Oreochromis niloticus: one gene and its partner. The protein of the gene in region 1 purifies or fractionates together with the protein of each later gene. This does not show direct contact. Links are inferred from orthologs where the notes say so. Each region holds a gene or a part of one and is shown in the gene's direction. Other genes may lie near its edges.

The links. Proteins that work in one complex are often made in the same cells at the same time.
Region 2: the proteins of bcap31 (region 1) and cyb5a purify together in Homo sapiens (co-immunoprecipitation; 4 studies listed by BioGRID and IntAct, with this or other methods). This does not show direct contact. The link is inferred for Oreochromis niloticus from reciprocal best matches to the Homo sapiens genes BCAP31 and CYB5A.

Annotation. Positions count from the first base shown.
Region 1 is NC_031984.2:4,572,496-4,580,620, reverse strand, and holds the start of bcap31 (B-cell receptor-associated protein 31), read left to right. Parts: upstream 1-4,986; 5' UTR 4,987-5,143; intron 5,144-8,125. UniProt on the Homo sapiens protein: Functions as a chaperone protein. Is one of the most abundant endoplasmic reticulum (ER) proteins.
Region 2 is NC_031974.2:98,932-106,051, reverse strand, and holds the start of cyb5a (cytochrome b5), read left to right. Parts: upstream 1-4,002; 5' UTR 4,003-4,147; coding exon 4,148-4,282; intron 4,283-7,120. Other genes in the region: lg9h18orf63 (uncharacterized protein C18orf63 homolog), read right to left, coding at 1,725-1,803, 2,011-2,135.

The DNA of each region.
Region 1 (8,125 bases):
TCGTTCCAGATTATCTTCAACTGCTTTCTTAATATTGTTTCCATTTCATGCATCATGCTGAGAGTTACAAAGAGAAAAAAATGGTGTAAGCTCCCCTACAGTACACAACGTCCTAAATCTGTTAAACTTTAGACAACATTAGTATCTGAAACAGTAAATCCTGTCAGCAGTCTTGCAGGGTTAACAGTTTGGATAGGTTGTTGCTATAGTTTGACTGAGATGAGACAGTAAGAGCTTTGCACCTTGCAGGACTTAAATACCGGAGTACCTGTTCAGCTCCTGCAGCCACCGCTGGACCCAAGTGCAGACACAGACCACAGGAAGAGCTTAAAGGTTTATTAACAATGTAGAAATTTTGCTGTAGAGATCATTTCAGGGCTCCTCTTAGAAGTGGAGAAGAGAGGGCTGCAAATTTAACAGGTGAGTGAGCAGGAAGCAGGTAACTGATCTGGTTTTGAATGAAAGTCCAATTAATTCCAAACAGGTGCTGAGACAGTCCAACTGAGCTGTGAGAGAGCACACCAATAGCTTCCTGGAAAAGGAGACAAGCTGAATACCAAGAAACTAGACCAAGAGGAAGAACTAAATGAGCCTGATGTAACCACTGAGACGGCTGTATGATCAGGTAAAGCTGGAGATGACGAGTGCTGCAGGTGATCAACAGATGTGTATCAATGAATTACACAGCACCATGTGGACACTGGCCCTCTCAGCGATCTCCACCATCAGGCCGGAGACTTTATTGTAATTTATAGTTTGTGCAGTTCACCTGGTAACAACCCTAATAGGGTTTATGGTTAGGCTTTGCTTTTGCTTTAGCAACATGCTAAACAGGCTAATAACCTTTAAATAAACAAAAGAAAAAGAAGATGCCATCTTTCAAGTTAGGTCACATATATTTAAACGTTTTTCTATTTCATGTTCAAAACAGGACAAGACTCTTACCTCTATCTAAAGTTATGCATTTTTACATAATATGGTGCCATTTTTTGAGCATTTCAAATTGCTTTACATCAATACAACTGTTGAGTCACTTCATAATTTCATTTTTGAGATGCACTAAGTTTCATAAACTGCAACAAATTCCAATTTAGATATTATTGTGCACAATGTGCAAAAAAAAACAACATGTGCATCAAAGGAAACTATTTACAACAATTTAAGTTCTAAGTGTCCCAGGAACTATACAGAAAGGCACAAAGTCAAACATGACTTTCAATAGTACCAGTTAACCTTTGAAAGGCCCTTTTAGGGGAAAAAATATATTTCCCACCAAAATGACGTCACTTTCAGCTTCGCATGTAACAGTGAACATGTGATAGTTCCTGCTGTCAACGAGATGATGTAGGAAGTGCTGTGAACAGATCAAATCAGCAAAGCCTGTTTCTAGGTTATAATGTTTTTATTGTTGCGTATTCTCTTCATGCAATTTTTGCAGAGCCATCAATGGACTGCTGTTGATGTTGAATGCACGATATGTCAGTACAACTCCTCCGTTTTCATATGCAAAAAAATAATTGCTCTAGCTTATTTGGCTGCAGTTCTACTGAGAATTAAAAATAGTGGCAAATGGGATCGCCGGCGCTCCCGTGGGCTTCAAAGGGTCAAAAGGAAATAACTTTTAGTTTGAAGCTAATCACTTCTGATTCCAATTTGTGTCACATTTTCTCAAGTTTCACTGCAGTTCTGAGAGTAATAGGTGGTATAAGGTATAAGCTAAGGGCAACTAGTGACCAAAGCAATCATAGGGAGGTTTTTGGTGCATTACACTCTGTGCTACTGATGTCACCTTGCAACAGCCAGCAACCTCCAACAACCGCTCGCTAACTGGGAGGGCTTACAGTGGGCTGGAGTAATCTGCATTGGCGGTCTTGCACCTTCAGAGTGAGTACAGGTAAATCTGAAAATGCATAATAGTGTTAAATTAATTCTTTTTTTTTTTGTGGGTGAGGCTGGCACTGCTTCCTGTGACATGAAGCTATTTGCTCAGTAGTAACACAATAATGACAGTCCATGGCTGCCTACATTTTTAGCATATCCTGTTTTTCTGGTGCAAATGTAAAGTTACTTCAGTATCTGGCTAGTGCTGCAGATAAGGAGTAACAGTTTAACAGTTCTACTTCATTCTACTTCATACCACATTAGCTTCATAATCTGTGTCTAGTGTTTAAAATTACTGTTGCATTTTAGTTTTAAAATAATTATCCTGCTTATGAAAGATGTTACGCTAAAATTCACTCTGAAGGGGTAAAAAGGGGCTGATATGGATGGCTAAATGATCAATACCCCCACTCCTATGGTGCATGAGTTCAACAAAGGTCCTCACAAAGATATAAGCACAAACCTTTGTGTGTGTGTTCACTATAATGACTTATTAATCTGTCCATCACTCATCCGCTCGCTTTAGCCACTTTTAAAATACTGCACTTTCAGTCGGGTTTCAATTGGCTGTTTAGAAAAAGCCATCATCCAATGAAGCATGCTGCTGCCTCTGTGTGTTTCTACTCCACCCGACGACTGAAGGAAACCTTTTAAAGAGTTTAATGTGTGATTTAGGATGTCTGAGCTGGGGTGAGGAGGAGAAGGAGGGAGGGGGAAGAAAACCAGAGCGAGAAGAAGAAGAAAAAGAGAGAGTGGTGGAAAATTCTAAAAACAGACAGAGAGGGAGATAAACAGTCTTTATGAGCGCTGACATTTTTATGAAGCAGAGTGAGTGTGTGTGCATGTGGTCTTGTTTTTCTGTTTTTATGGAGTCTGAGACTCTGTGTGTGTGTGTGTGTGTGTGTGTGTGTGTGTGACCGCACACTTTGCTGCCCTCAACAGCTACTGGCTGGTATAGCAACAGAGGTACTTTTTGTAAATTTCTATTTAAAAATAAAAGATAATTTAAAACTTTCCAAAAACAAATATCAACAGAATGTAACAACCAGTTAATATCATTTCATGGCTCAAATGTCTGGTATAATGTTGAATAGATCTGAATCTGAATTAAAAACAGGCCCAGGCTAGCTTTCATGCAATACCAATGTGTACCACAAGAGGGCACAGCAAGTCAATGTAAGCATTATTTAATTAGTGAATTTATTATGAGCACATCTTCATTTATAATGTGGACCTGGCAAAGCTGCTCAAACAAGTCACACATCCACTAGTAAAATAAAAAAAAACTGCATAATTACGTCAAATCTTAGTGCAGCATATGCAGAAACACATGTACAAAAAAAATGTCTAGCAAGGTTTATGTGTTGTTGTTTTTTTATTTTATTGATTATTTTTTAAGATAAGATAAGATAATTCTTTATTTTCATTGCACAGTCATACATAGTACAATAGTACAATGAAATTGGAAAACTGTCCCACATCGGCACTACGTACAACACAACACATCACAACACAACACAACATGACACAACACAACACGACACAACACAACACAACACAACACAACACAGTGACTTAACTTAGTGTCCTGGGTGTGCACAATCCCATAGGATGCTGCGTGCCCTCTTGAGACAGCGAGTGCTGGACAGGTCCTTCAGGAAGGGACGAGGATGTCCAGTGATTTTTTGGGCCATATTAATGACCCTCTGAAGTGCAAAGGTGAAAAAATCTAATATATAAACAAAATTAAGAAAAATTCCTACCTTTTCTGGGACTGATTCTTTAATTGACTGAAGTTAAAAACATGGCCTGTGGTCTGACTAATCAATATTTTAAAATCCTTTTGATAATCACGGATACAACGTCCTCCAAGTTAAAGAGGAGAGGGACCACATGGCTTATTAGAGTCCATTTTTCCTTTGGTATGGGTAATATGCACCTCTGTGAAGGCGCCATTAATGCTGAATGTTAGTAAAATAACAAAAAACAAAAATGCATGTTCTAAACTGGTCCGACTGTCCTCCAGACCCAATGAAGACATTTATTACATTATGAAATATGACAAAATGTTAAGCAGCTGTAATATCCCAAACATTTAAACCATTGTGATGACTGAAGGATCATGTCAGAATAAAAAAAACCCAATAAAGTCCAGTATTTTCAAAGGTGTATATTGTCTTTTAATGATTTCTAAATTATTCCATCCTATTTTTAGTTGTTTTTTTTTTAAAGTCAGCTGTAATTTAGGCCTCATGACATGAAAGTACTTTCATTTTGAATAAAGGAAGATTAGTAAGGATTATGAGAAAACATTTTAGCCATATGACCCTGCAAAAATGCCAATGCAGGTCTTTATCCAGTCACAGGCCAATGAAAACAAAAAAACAATACAATTAATGTGAATTTGATATACTTCAGACATAGTTGTTTGCATTTATATTATTTAAATAAATATTTTTTGAATACAACTTCCACATGTAAATAATTACCTGTGGAAATAGAACAACAGAGAGCAGGCGCTTGTCGTTGTTTTGAAGCAGGCCTGATTTTTATGGACAGTGTCTCCCTCTGTTGGATAGAATAAGGAACTACTTATTAAATGAGCGTTTAATCTGTCTACTACATATTTTATATGTATATCGTATCTGATACAAATAAAATGTAACATGCTACAAAACATGCTGGTCTAAATTTAAGTTAAATTTTTTTCAGAGATTAAAATATCATGTGCAGAGACTACACGCAGAACGAAGTATTTCATTAATTCATGGCTTATATGCATACACCTCCAACAATATGTTGTTATGAGGGTCATGTGTACTAAAAAAACTAAAATAAAAATTTACACAATAAATGGTGAATTTAAAAATATTCAAATTAATTGCAATGTAATTAATTATCACTTTAAAAAGCAATGTATGCTGCATGCATATCCTGCACTAAAGGAATTAACTGGAATTAGCCTCATGTTTTTTTTCATTCAACAAAAAATGTAATATTGCGTGAGGTACAGAAAGATAATAATTATAAATTCATTAAATGATTAATATAGAACAATAAAGTGACGCAACGATAGGTCACGTGCTTCCGCCCCGCCGGCTCCGTGTCCAATCATATTTCAAGATGAGCTGGCACTAAAATACCCGGAAGTGTTTACAGCAGGAGGCTAAACTAGCAGCTAACAGTAGAGTCAGTGGAGAATTGAAGCTCCTGGAAGTGCAGTGCGGACACATCTCCTCCCCTGTGTGCGGTGCTTGTTAAGGTGAGTCCCACCTGTTCACTAATGATCAGCACCCCGATTCTCTCCAGCTTACCGAGGCTAACTGCTCCTAGCAGCAACCAACAGTTAGCTTCAGCGAGTGGCGCGAAACAAACGGCTTGTTTTTGGAAACAAGCGCTTGGAATAGATTAAAACAGAATGCTCGGTTTTCCAGAAAACTGAACCTTCAATAATCAGCTGAGTAATTCTAAAAGAAAACGTAACTAACAGGGGGGAAACTAGCTAGCATGCTAGTTAGCTAATGTAAAAAAAAAAACAAAAACAAAAAAACCCAAAAACAAGTTTAATTACTTTCCAGCACATAGACAGAACCTAGTTCGTTTTATGGAATTTAGTTCCAGCAGATACACAGACATGCAAATTTATCAGCTCACTGGAGGGTCTGCAAATTGCGAAGATGTGAAATGAGTGCGGGTAGGAGCGTAAAGTTTTTAGGTCAGGCACTTGAGAGTTTTCAGGAGTTAATTTGTGTGTCGCAGCTGGTAAAATGTACTGACAGTGAATCTTTGTGGTTTGGTTTGGTTTCTTGGCTGAAGTGAGCTGTAACAGGGAGCACAGTGTTGTGGGATCGATGAGGGGCGTTATCAGTGTTTTGATGTGTAAGGAGGCGTGATGCTCCGCTGTGTTTCTGCAGTTTTTGCGGAGCCGCAATGACACAGCTGTTCTGAGCTGCCATATCTGAAGCAAAGCAACCCCCTCGAGTGCTCACACTGCACACAACCAAAGGGGAAAAAAAGAAATCACACTCAGATGCTTTATTCGGTTTTTTTAGCTTGTGTCTTTTTCACTTATTGTTGTCAGGCATCGTCTACAAAGACGTCAATCTCAGAAAAAGGAGAAGCCTCCGGCCTCCACCCATCGGGCTGCTCTAAAGTGGGCTGTGTTGCTTTTCAGTTTTGTGGAACAATTAAATTAGTTTATTAGATTTATTCTCAGAACAGGATTAGGAGTGCATTTTTAGAAAAATGTCATTAAGCTTTGCTGAAAGACACTGAAAATCCACTTTCATAGGGTTGTAACATTTTTATAAAGTATGATCTGTGAAAATCTGAAGTCTTCCACATCAGCAACATGACAGTTAACCATTTACATTTTTTCTTTCTTTAAAATTTCGTGCAGAACTATGTGAAAGTCTTGAGCCACTCCTTGCTTCTTTTTCTTTAGTTTCCAGAGAGTCAGACTTTTTCAAAGTGGTGTTAAAGTGATAGTTCTTCGCCAAATAACAGAAATTGTTGCCTCAAGCTTCTTTATATTGTAAAGTACAGACAGACCCAACAATAATACAAGAAAACAGAGGAAACCCCAAAAGTCCTATGATCCCCTCCTATGAGCAAGTGCTTTAGAAACCTCCAGCAGAACCAGGATTCAGGAGGATCGGCCATCTGCCTCAATCGATTGGGGGTGAGCGGACGAAGACAGGACAAGGACATGCTGCGCCAGAGATTAACAATAACTAATTAACAACTTGGCAAAGAACCCATTTTAAATTGTGTCTTTGGGCACCAATCACAAAAACAAAACCTCACAAAAACATATCATTTGTTCCCATTTCTTTAGTTCTCTGAAAAATACCAAAGATAACAGTCTGACAGGCATAAAGAAGTATTTTTGCACCAACAAGGTGATTCCCAAAGAGCTATTAGCTGATGACTTGGTACACCTCAGCAAGGTGTGCAGTGTCCTTAAAAAAAAAAAAAATGTGAGGAAACTGGGCAAAAGTAGTGTCATTCCTAAAAAGCCATTTCTACCAGGTGAATTCAGAAATGGTCTCAATGAAAGGCTGGTTGTCAAGAAGCCACTATTCAAGAAGGGAAACTGGGACAAAGGTCAGAGGCAGATTACACAAGAACTTGACTGAAAATCAGTGGCAGGAGGTCTTATGGAGCAATGGATCCAGATATGATTTTTTTTTATATATATATATATATATCTGGAGGTTGAGAGAGCAGTACAACAGTGAGTGTCTACAGCCATCTGTTAGACACAGTGAAGACTCTGTCATAGTTTGGAGCGTTTCAGCCAGCAGTGTGTGGTTCACCACTGAAACAAAATACATGTCAGTCACTGACATCTACACAGCCCGCTGGCTCAGCTCTGCTGAGGCAATCATGAGAGACTCCACCCATCCTGCATCTCACCTGTTTGGCCTGCTGCCCTCAGGGTGACGCTACAGGTCCATCCAGACTCAGGAACAGTTTCTTTCCGCAAGCCAGTATAGTGAGCACAGACATGCACACACACACACACGCCCCACTTCAAAACACACATCTCTCTCATGCATCAACGCATACACACAACAACATACACGTTACCACCACCGCACAAGACCAGTGAAATACTTCAGAGCAACCTTGGACATCTGTATAAACTTTTTGCATTTATGTCGTTTGTATTTTTATATTTGTTTTTACTGTTACTTGTTCTGAATTTAATCATTGACTCTAAATTGCCCTCAGGTGTGAATGTGAGTGCGAGTGGTTGTCTGTCTCTGTGTGTTTGCGATGGATGGATTTATTCTAAATGCTGCTAACAGGAAGTTGCTTCTGTATTCGTTGAATGTCTGATGTTTAATGACAATAAAAGGATTTGGATTCTGATTGGCCTCCTTGGAAAGCAAATCTCAACATTATTGAAGTGTGAGTTCCATTCTCATAGAGAATGGAACAAAAATCAGCTAACATCCAGAACAGCTTTGAATTTCCTGGAGAGAAATTCCTGAAGACCTGAATGACAAGAAAGCTGACTAAAAGAGTTTATGCTGTGTTCAATAATGAAGGCAGTTACAGCAAATATTGACTTTCAAACTCATACAAACATGTTTTTTGCCTTTATATACTTATGTTTGCATGTGTTTTGTATCTATAGTATTTCCAATTTTCCTAGCAAATTATAAAGAAAGAGGGTTGGCTTAACACTTTTCCCCAGTACTGCTGCAAACCAGTAGGAGCTAAAATGCAATCGGTG
Region 2 (7,120 bases), on another chromosome or scaffold:
GTGTGTGCAGGCTAAGGTGGCGTGCAGAGCCTGATATGTGCGTGCGGCGTTAAAGCAGCTAACAGAGTCGACTCGTGCAGTCTGTCGAGTTTATGGAGTCAAAATCTATAAATCAGTCACCATCACACGAAACCTGAAGCACCCGAAGCTACACAAAAACATCGCACACACACCAAAGAAAACAAAACAACCACAGCTATCTGTTTTTAAAAGAGCTGAAAAACAGCTTCTGCTACATCAATTCAGACTTAAATCTAACTAGCAAAGACATCGTAGCACAGCAGCTGACCGGAGGACCGGGTGAGGATCCAGTGCTTGTCGTGAAACCTCACACATATAAACGACATCACGAGCTCTGACATAAAAGCAGGAAGTCTCTTTCTTGACCCAATCAGCACACAGAATGATTCAAAGGAGAAAAACATGACTTTGAGTGGATGTGACGGATGTGACATGTAACACAGTCGTCGGTCACAGTTTCTGTGCATTTATACAGAGATACTAACTCTGTGTTTGGAAGCTGGCGAGAAAACACGATTCAGACATTGTCTTGATTTCATAAAGCTCCAAATGTCCAGCGACTAAACAGGCACCTAGGATGTATCCTGGTCCCCTTACCCCCTCCACTGCCCCCTTCCAGTGTGGAGGACGTGGGTCTACCCTGAACTTCTCCCAACAGGCCAAACTCCTCACAATCATTTTAATGCTGAGCCCAGATGCCATATCAGAGGAAGCTCATTTCCAGCCTCGTATCTGTGATCTGTTTTGGTCCAAAACCCACAGCTTGTGGTCACAGGTGACCGTGGAGGAGGGCACAGAAATGCAGGGATACCCACAGATATGCTTTCACACTCAGCTCTGCATCACTACATCAGTCCCTCTCCCCCTCCACCCTTTTCCAGCTGAGAAAAGTGTGGAGTTACAGTTACACCAGTCCGAGCTGGTGGTCGAGCCTCAATGAAGCCAACAGAACCACATCATAAGTAAAAAGCAGAGACATTGATCTTGAGCCCACCGAACCCTCCGCCAAGAAATTCATCAAGAAATAAAATCAGTTCAACCCTGGAGGGGGTCCGACACCCAGCATGACCAGTCTGCCTTGTGAACCAAAGTCTCGCTGCGGTTGTACAGACTGGACAGCGTCCACCAGGGGACACCCGACCTTTCTACCACTTTCACTGGTAGAAAGAGCCAGCCAACCCAACGCTGTCATTCTGTCATCCTGGCTCGAGCTGAACTAACAGTGACTTTTAAAGAGAGACAAAAGCACGTGAAGGAAAGCAGTGCGTTTAATCTATAAAACCCAGTCTATCTTGTTTTCAGTGCTTTGGGGCTCAAATTTTCACTGAAATTAAAACCTGCTTAACTGGCCTCTCTTACTCAATGCCATCAGGAGTTCAGGAGAATGCAGTAGCCATGATTTTCCAATCAGCCACAGTCCGCCTTAAATGAGCTCAGGCTCAGAGAAAGCACAAGCTACTGTGGATTATTTTACTGCTTATTTAACTTAAAATAAGTGAAATTTATTTTATAACTTTTCAGGAAATTACACTATGCAACATTTTCTTTATAATGGCATTTGTGCACTTTCATAAGGGAAACGACAACAGTAAGTGCCTCAGTGTTAGTTTGATATGGCGAACTGACATCAGGGTTGAAAGGTGGATGCTTAAAAGTGTAGGAGTGTGTGTGCATGTGTGTGTGTGCATGTGTGTGTTCCTTACAGCTATGACCACTGTGATATCAGCGAAGGAGTCCAGAGCAGGAGCAGCCAGAAGATCAGAGAACAGCAGAACCAGCTCCCTGTGAGAACACACATTCAATGTTATTTACAGATGTGTGCATCATTTAAGGTTCTACTGGCTCATCAGTGCCTGAAAACCTGCGTCACACTTGTCCTCCCTCATCAGATGTGCATAAATAAACCTTTCACATGTTTAAATTAACTTTCAGCTCTGGCTGTTTGCTGTGGTGTGACACTAACGGTGGCCTGTCCTCTGCACCGTTCACCTGCAGGTCTTGATCTGTTTGCTCCTCAGCTCCTCGCCTTCATCCTGCAGAGTCAGGGTGACGCAGACCAGCTGCTTTGGGTCGGGAAGACTGAGGAAATACAGGGACTGGTGGCCTCTGCTCATCCTGCACACAGCTGACACAGGGAAATGACCAGAGTCATAACGTGAATTCAAAGAGCCTCTGTGAGGTTCATAAGACACAACCAGACAAAATATACTTTAGATAAGCCTACAGCAGCTGATTCTCACTCCAAATATGACCAAACAGACACGTTTTAGGTTTCGAAATGACAGTTCTGTCAACTTAATGATCTATTAAGTCCTTTAATTTATATTTACTTGTCAAAAGTTCCTACACAGAAGAAAAATGCTCAGATAGCGTTTAGGCCAAAGAAAATTTTATAATCTACAAAAAACTGTTGGCTAAAAAAATTTAAGGGTAAGAGAAGAGGATATAATTATAATTTAAATAAATAATAATAAATAATAGCTTAATGTTGATCCATATTTATAGTTTGAGTTCAAATTACTTAAAATCATCTTTATAACCGCTTAAAGACTTACTGCAAACACAAAAAACACAATAATCATTTTTAAACGTTAAGCTAAAGTTTTAAAGTTTTAAAGTTGTCACATTGTTGTGCCTCTGACCTGAAAACTATAAAAGCTAATGCTATTGATAGGCTAGTAGCAGCTAACGCTAAGTTAGAGCTGTGCTTTTTTTTTTTAGCATTGTTTTAAAATTAAAGTTAATATCTCAGTCACTAACCTTGTTCTAATGCTTACACTACAACAAAATAAAACTTATCTTCTGCTGGGAATAGTTTTATTAGAAAGAAACATTTCAAAAAGCGTAAATACAACATATAAGGTTAGCAAAACTCTCTTTAACAGTAGTCGAAGATGAGTGAGAGAAGAAGAGGACTCTCACTCTTCTTCGTTTAGTGAAATAAATCGTTTCTATTGAAGATGGGGTGCAGTTTATATGTGTATGTTTACAAACTTCATATTAATAACTATTTAATAAAATGCATATTAAAGACTCCTTAGCAGAACAAGTGGAGCATGATGCCTGATTAATGTTTTGTCTGATTTAAACTTTTTTTTTTTTTGGCTGCATAGTGATGAGTTGTATTAATAGACGAACTTTGAGTTCGGGTTCGAGTGTTTTCCCGCCGCAGAGCCGCTCCAGTAACAGTCTAAATTTTCTACTCTGAATGCCAATTTATGACAACATTAACAAAGTTATGCAGGTCAAATGGGATTTGGGACTACAACCGGATGTCCGGCTGCCCGCTGAAACGCTCAGATTAGGAAAAAAATCTCAGTACGTGGGCTACGTGAGAAGACCCAACCCGTTGCGTGAGAAGTGAGTTTCCTTGACAGCCGTTGAACTCCAGCGAACTTTGCCCTCGTCCTCGCCTATAGCCTCACTGATGATTGGCACGGGAAGAGCCAATCACAGACGACCATTATCCTGGAGGAGGGAAGGAATAGCCAATAGCATATTAGGAGGGCGGTAGGGAGGGCGGTCTCCGCCAGTGTGTCAGGAACTTTGAGACATCATGAAGCAGCCTGTAATAACTACGACCACAACGGAAATTACAAAGCAGTATTTCATAATAAAAGCACAATGCAGCATAATAATAATAATAACGACATAAAGAAATAAAACGTATAGGTTTAGTACACCACCATATTTACATTGAAATATATAAGCTATACATATCAGGGCACTTATTTGAGGAATCATTTGAAGCATTATGTTACTTAACTTTTATTTTATTTTGTAAATAGGACATAAAACTGCATGTATAGCTTAAACATGTATAGGTTATGAAAATAAAATACTTCAACTTTTTGCTGATAACTGCCGAGCTATGCATTCTTTCTGAAGAAGTCCGTTATACTAACCGGAGGGGGCTTTTATTTTGGAGGCAGCAGCAGGAGGCGACACTGAGCTCAGGTAAATTCAGCAGCTGAGGTCTGCCCAGCGCTGGAAGTTAGTGTGGACTCTCTCTGGGTTAAATGTCGATGTGTTTTTGTGGACTCACCGTCTTGATACACTCCCTGGGATTATATAACCTCGGACAGGCTGCTCAGCCCTCAGAACTCGCTCCCACAGCGTCGCACAGATGGGTGAACAGAAGAAAAGCTCCGAGGGAGTGAAATACTACAGACTGGCAGAGATAGAGCAGCAGAACTCCTTCAAATCTACGTGGATCATCATCCACAACAAAGTCTACGATGTGACCAAGTTTCTGGAGGAGGTGAGCTGAGTGTCTGGGTGTTGAAGGTGGTGGGGGTGCAGAGGTATATGTGTCTGTGGAAATCAGCCAAAACAGGAAATGAGGAAACTAGACACCCTGCGCTGAGAGGGAGGAAAATCCAACCGAACCGCTTTTGAATGCATGTTTAGCAGCTTTTAATTTCACAGTACAGACCGGAGCCTTCTCAGTAGTGCAGGGGTCCCAGGAAGGGCCCCAGAGGAACCCCGACAAACTTAAACAATAAGTCAAAGGTCAGATGAGAAGTATCCAAATCAGTGCAGGTGTCTCAGTTATAACGGAGACGGGATTTGTTTGGGTTTTGTGGTTGTATGGAAGCCCAGAAATGCCAAAAGACTCTGGACATAGATGGATGGGATTATTGATTAGAAACTGAATGTCTGCGTTTTGTGGGACTGTCAGACTGAACGAGACTTTTAGATTCAATCCTGGATTTTTCATTTTTAAATGATCACGTTTTATTGTGATCCTCAACAGTTTCAATTTCTGATCAAAAAGGTTTTAGTGACAATAAATGATGGTATTGATCTTTGCATTGATCAAAAGCCTTTAAACTGGCCAGACACCAGCTTCACTGACCAATGTCTGTCTGTACCTAATGAAATGGTGTTTACTGCTGTTCGGGACATTTAGTGATGATTTCTTTGTTTCACTGGAACAAAAATGGGAATAAAACAGCAAAAAAGCATATTTCATAATAATAATAATAATGATAATAATAATAATAATGTAAAATGTAAAAATTAAATTAAAACATATTTTGGCAGATTTACTTTTTAAACATTGAACTGTAAATCTGAAAGGACTTTTTTCCAGTTGATCAATATATAAAATAAATCCTTCTGACGAAGGACGCTCAGCCAAATTCTAATATCGGCCTGATATCTGTATTTAAGCAAATTAAAAGGGCGTTAGCGATGTCAGCGGCTTATTTATCTGTCAGAGGTCGCATGAAAGAGTTTCAGTTTAGTTGCAGCCCCTGAGAAGTTATTGATTATCGTATTAAACCTGAGAAATAAAGCTATCCCTGCAAACCTGAGTGATTCCTCATTAAAGCCAAATATTAGCAGCTCAAGCTGCTCAGACCTGAGTGTTTCCTGTTTTTATGGTCCCCCTGACACCAAACTCATTGTGTGTGTTTCAGGCTGTTGGTTTTGTGATGCTGGGCACCAGTGATTGGTCAATAACCGTACTATAATGATCGTAGCATGTGCATGTTTATATGTCTGTATGTGACCTATTTCCTCCTTCACTGTTGGGCCAGTCTGAGTGAAACCATTCTTATCATCTATGTGTTTTTAAAAACGATTTATCACAAACACCAATACTTTTGATTTTCATATCCAACCCTCTGTTTCTGTTCGTTTCCTGTGTTTAGTGTTTGTCACTAAACTTTGTATCCACTGTGGAATTTTCTGTTCCGATTGTTGAGCTGACTGATTTTGATTAAGTTAAGGTGAAGTTACTCTGGGTACCTGCAACATTTAAATAAAAGTTTTAGACTCAAGTTTAGTAGTATTAGAGAGTATTAGAGTAGTATTAGAGAGTATTAGAGAGTATTAGAGTAGTATTAGAGAGTATTAGAGAGATGACCCTGTATGCAGCACATGGCAGCAGTGGGGAGGAAGAACTTCCTTTTAACAGGAAGAAACTTCCAACCGAAGCAGGCTCAGGGAGGTTTAGCCTCTTTGGCCCTAGAAAACATATGAATGAGTAAATGCGTCTGACTGCCTCTGATTGGTCTAGAAAAGGTGTGATGATTGATATAATGAAGTGCTCCACCTGGAGCCTGGTACCTGTCCGTCTGCGTGCAGGTTTATTGCAGGTTTAACGTGCTGCTCTGAAGCACAGAGCGATCTAAGGCCGTAAACATGGATCGCTTGAGTTTGCATGCAGCAAATGTGACTGCTGCACACACTGACCCCAAAGCGTCAGCCCCACGACCCTTCACCTCCACCTCCATTCAGTTTTACACCGTCCCTCTGCTTTCAGATATCGTCAGGCTTCAGTTTTCTGCTGATTCACTGGGATGAACTCTGTCACAGTTTGCTCTCTGGCTTTGTGCTGCAGACTCTGGTGAATCATTGGCAGGTTGCCGTGATGGAGCTAAAGGGGGGGGCAGGGTTTTATAACATGTGACTACACAAAGAGAGAACTCGCTCTGACTCACTTCAGATCTAAACCAGATTAAAAGTGTTTTCATTGTTAATTTAATCCTGGAGACGTCAGCATATGTGTGGAATTATTCAATTAAAGATGAACGGCAGGAAGTTTTTAATCCAAATCAGAAATATCCAGGAAACTGGATTCACTGGTTGAAGTGTTCACACCCGTTACATACAGATAATAAGCACTCGATAGCAGAGCTGATTGGAGTTGATGAGGTTAGCATCAGTTACATGCTGCACAGCTGTCCATGTTTGCTTTGCATGATGAAACAATGAGCATACCCCGGGTAGTCTCTCTTTTTTCTTTCTGTAGACTTATGAGGTTTTGTGGTCACATGACAGCTAGTCACATGATGTGAATGATTTGGACATGTAACAGTGTAGAGGCTAAAGGTCTAGGGACCAGTCTGCAACCATCTGCCAACCTCAGGTCACTGGGAGAAAATGATTATTCTCCAACTGGTTGGCCAAAGGGTGCTGGCAGACCTGAAGGCCAGACATTGACTGCCTGGAAACCACCGGTTGCTAGGGAAAAAATGTATTCACCAACCACTTCCTTGTGATTTCTTTGGTTGCTAGGCTTGCAGACCGCTGTGTCACCTGTAATGTGATAGACGCTGTACTGTGTAAACAAAAGGTAGCACCCTTTGAA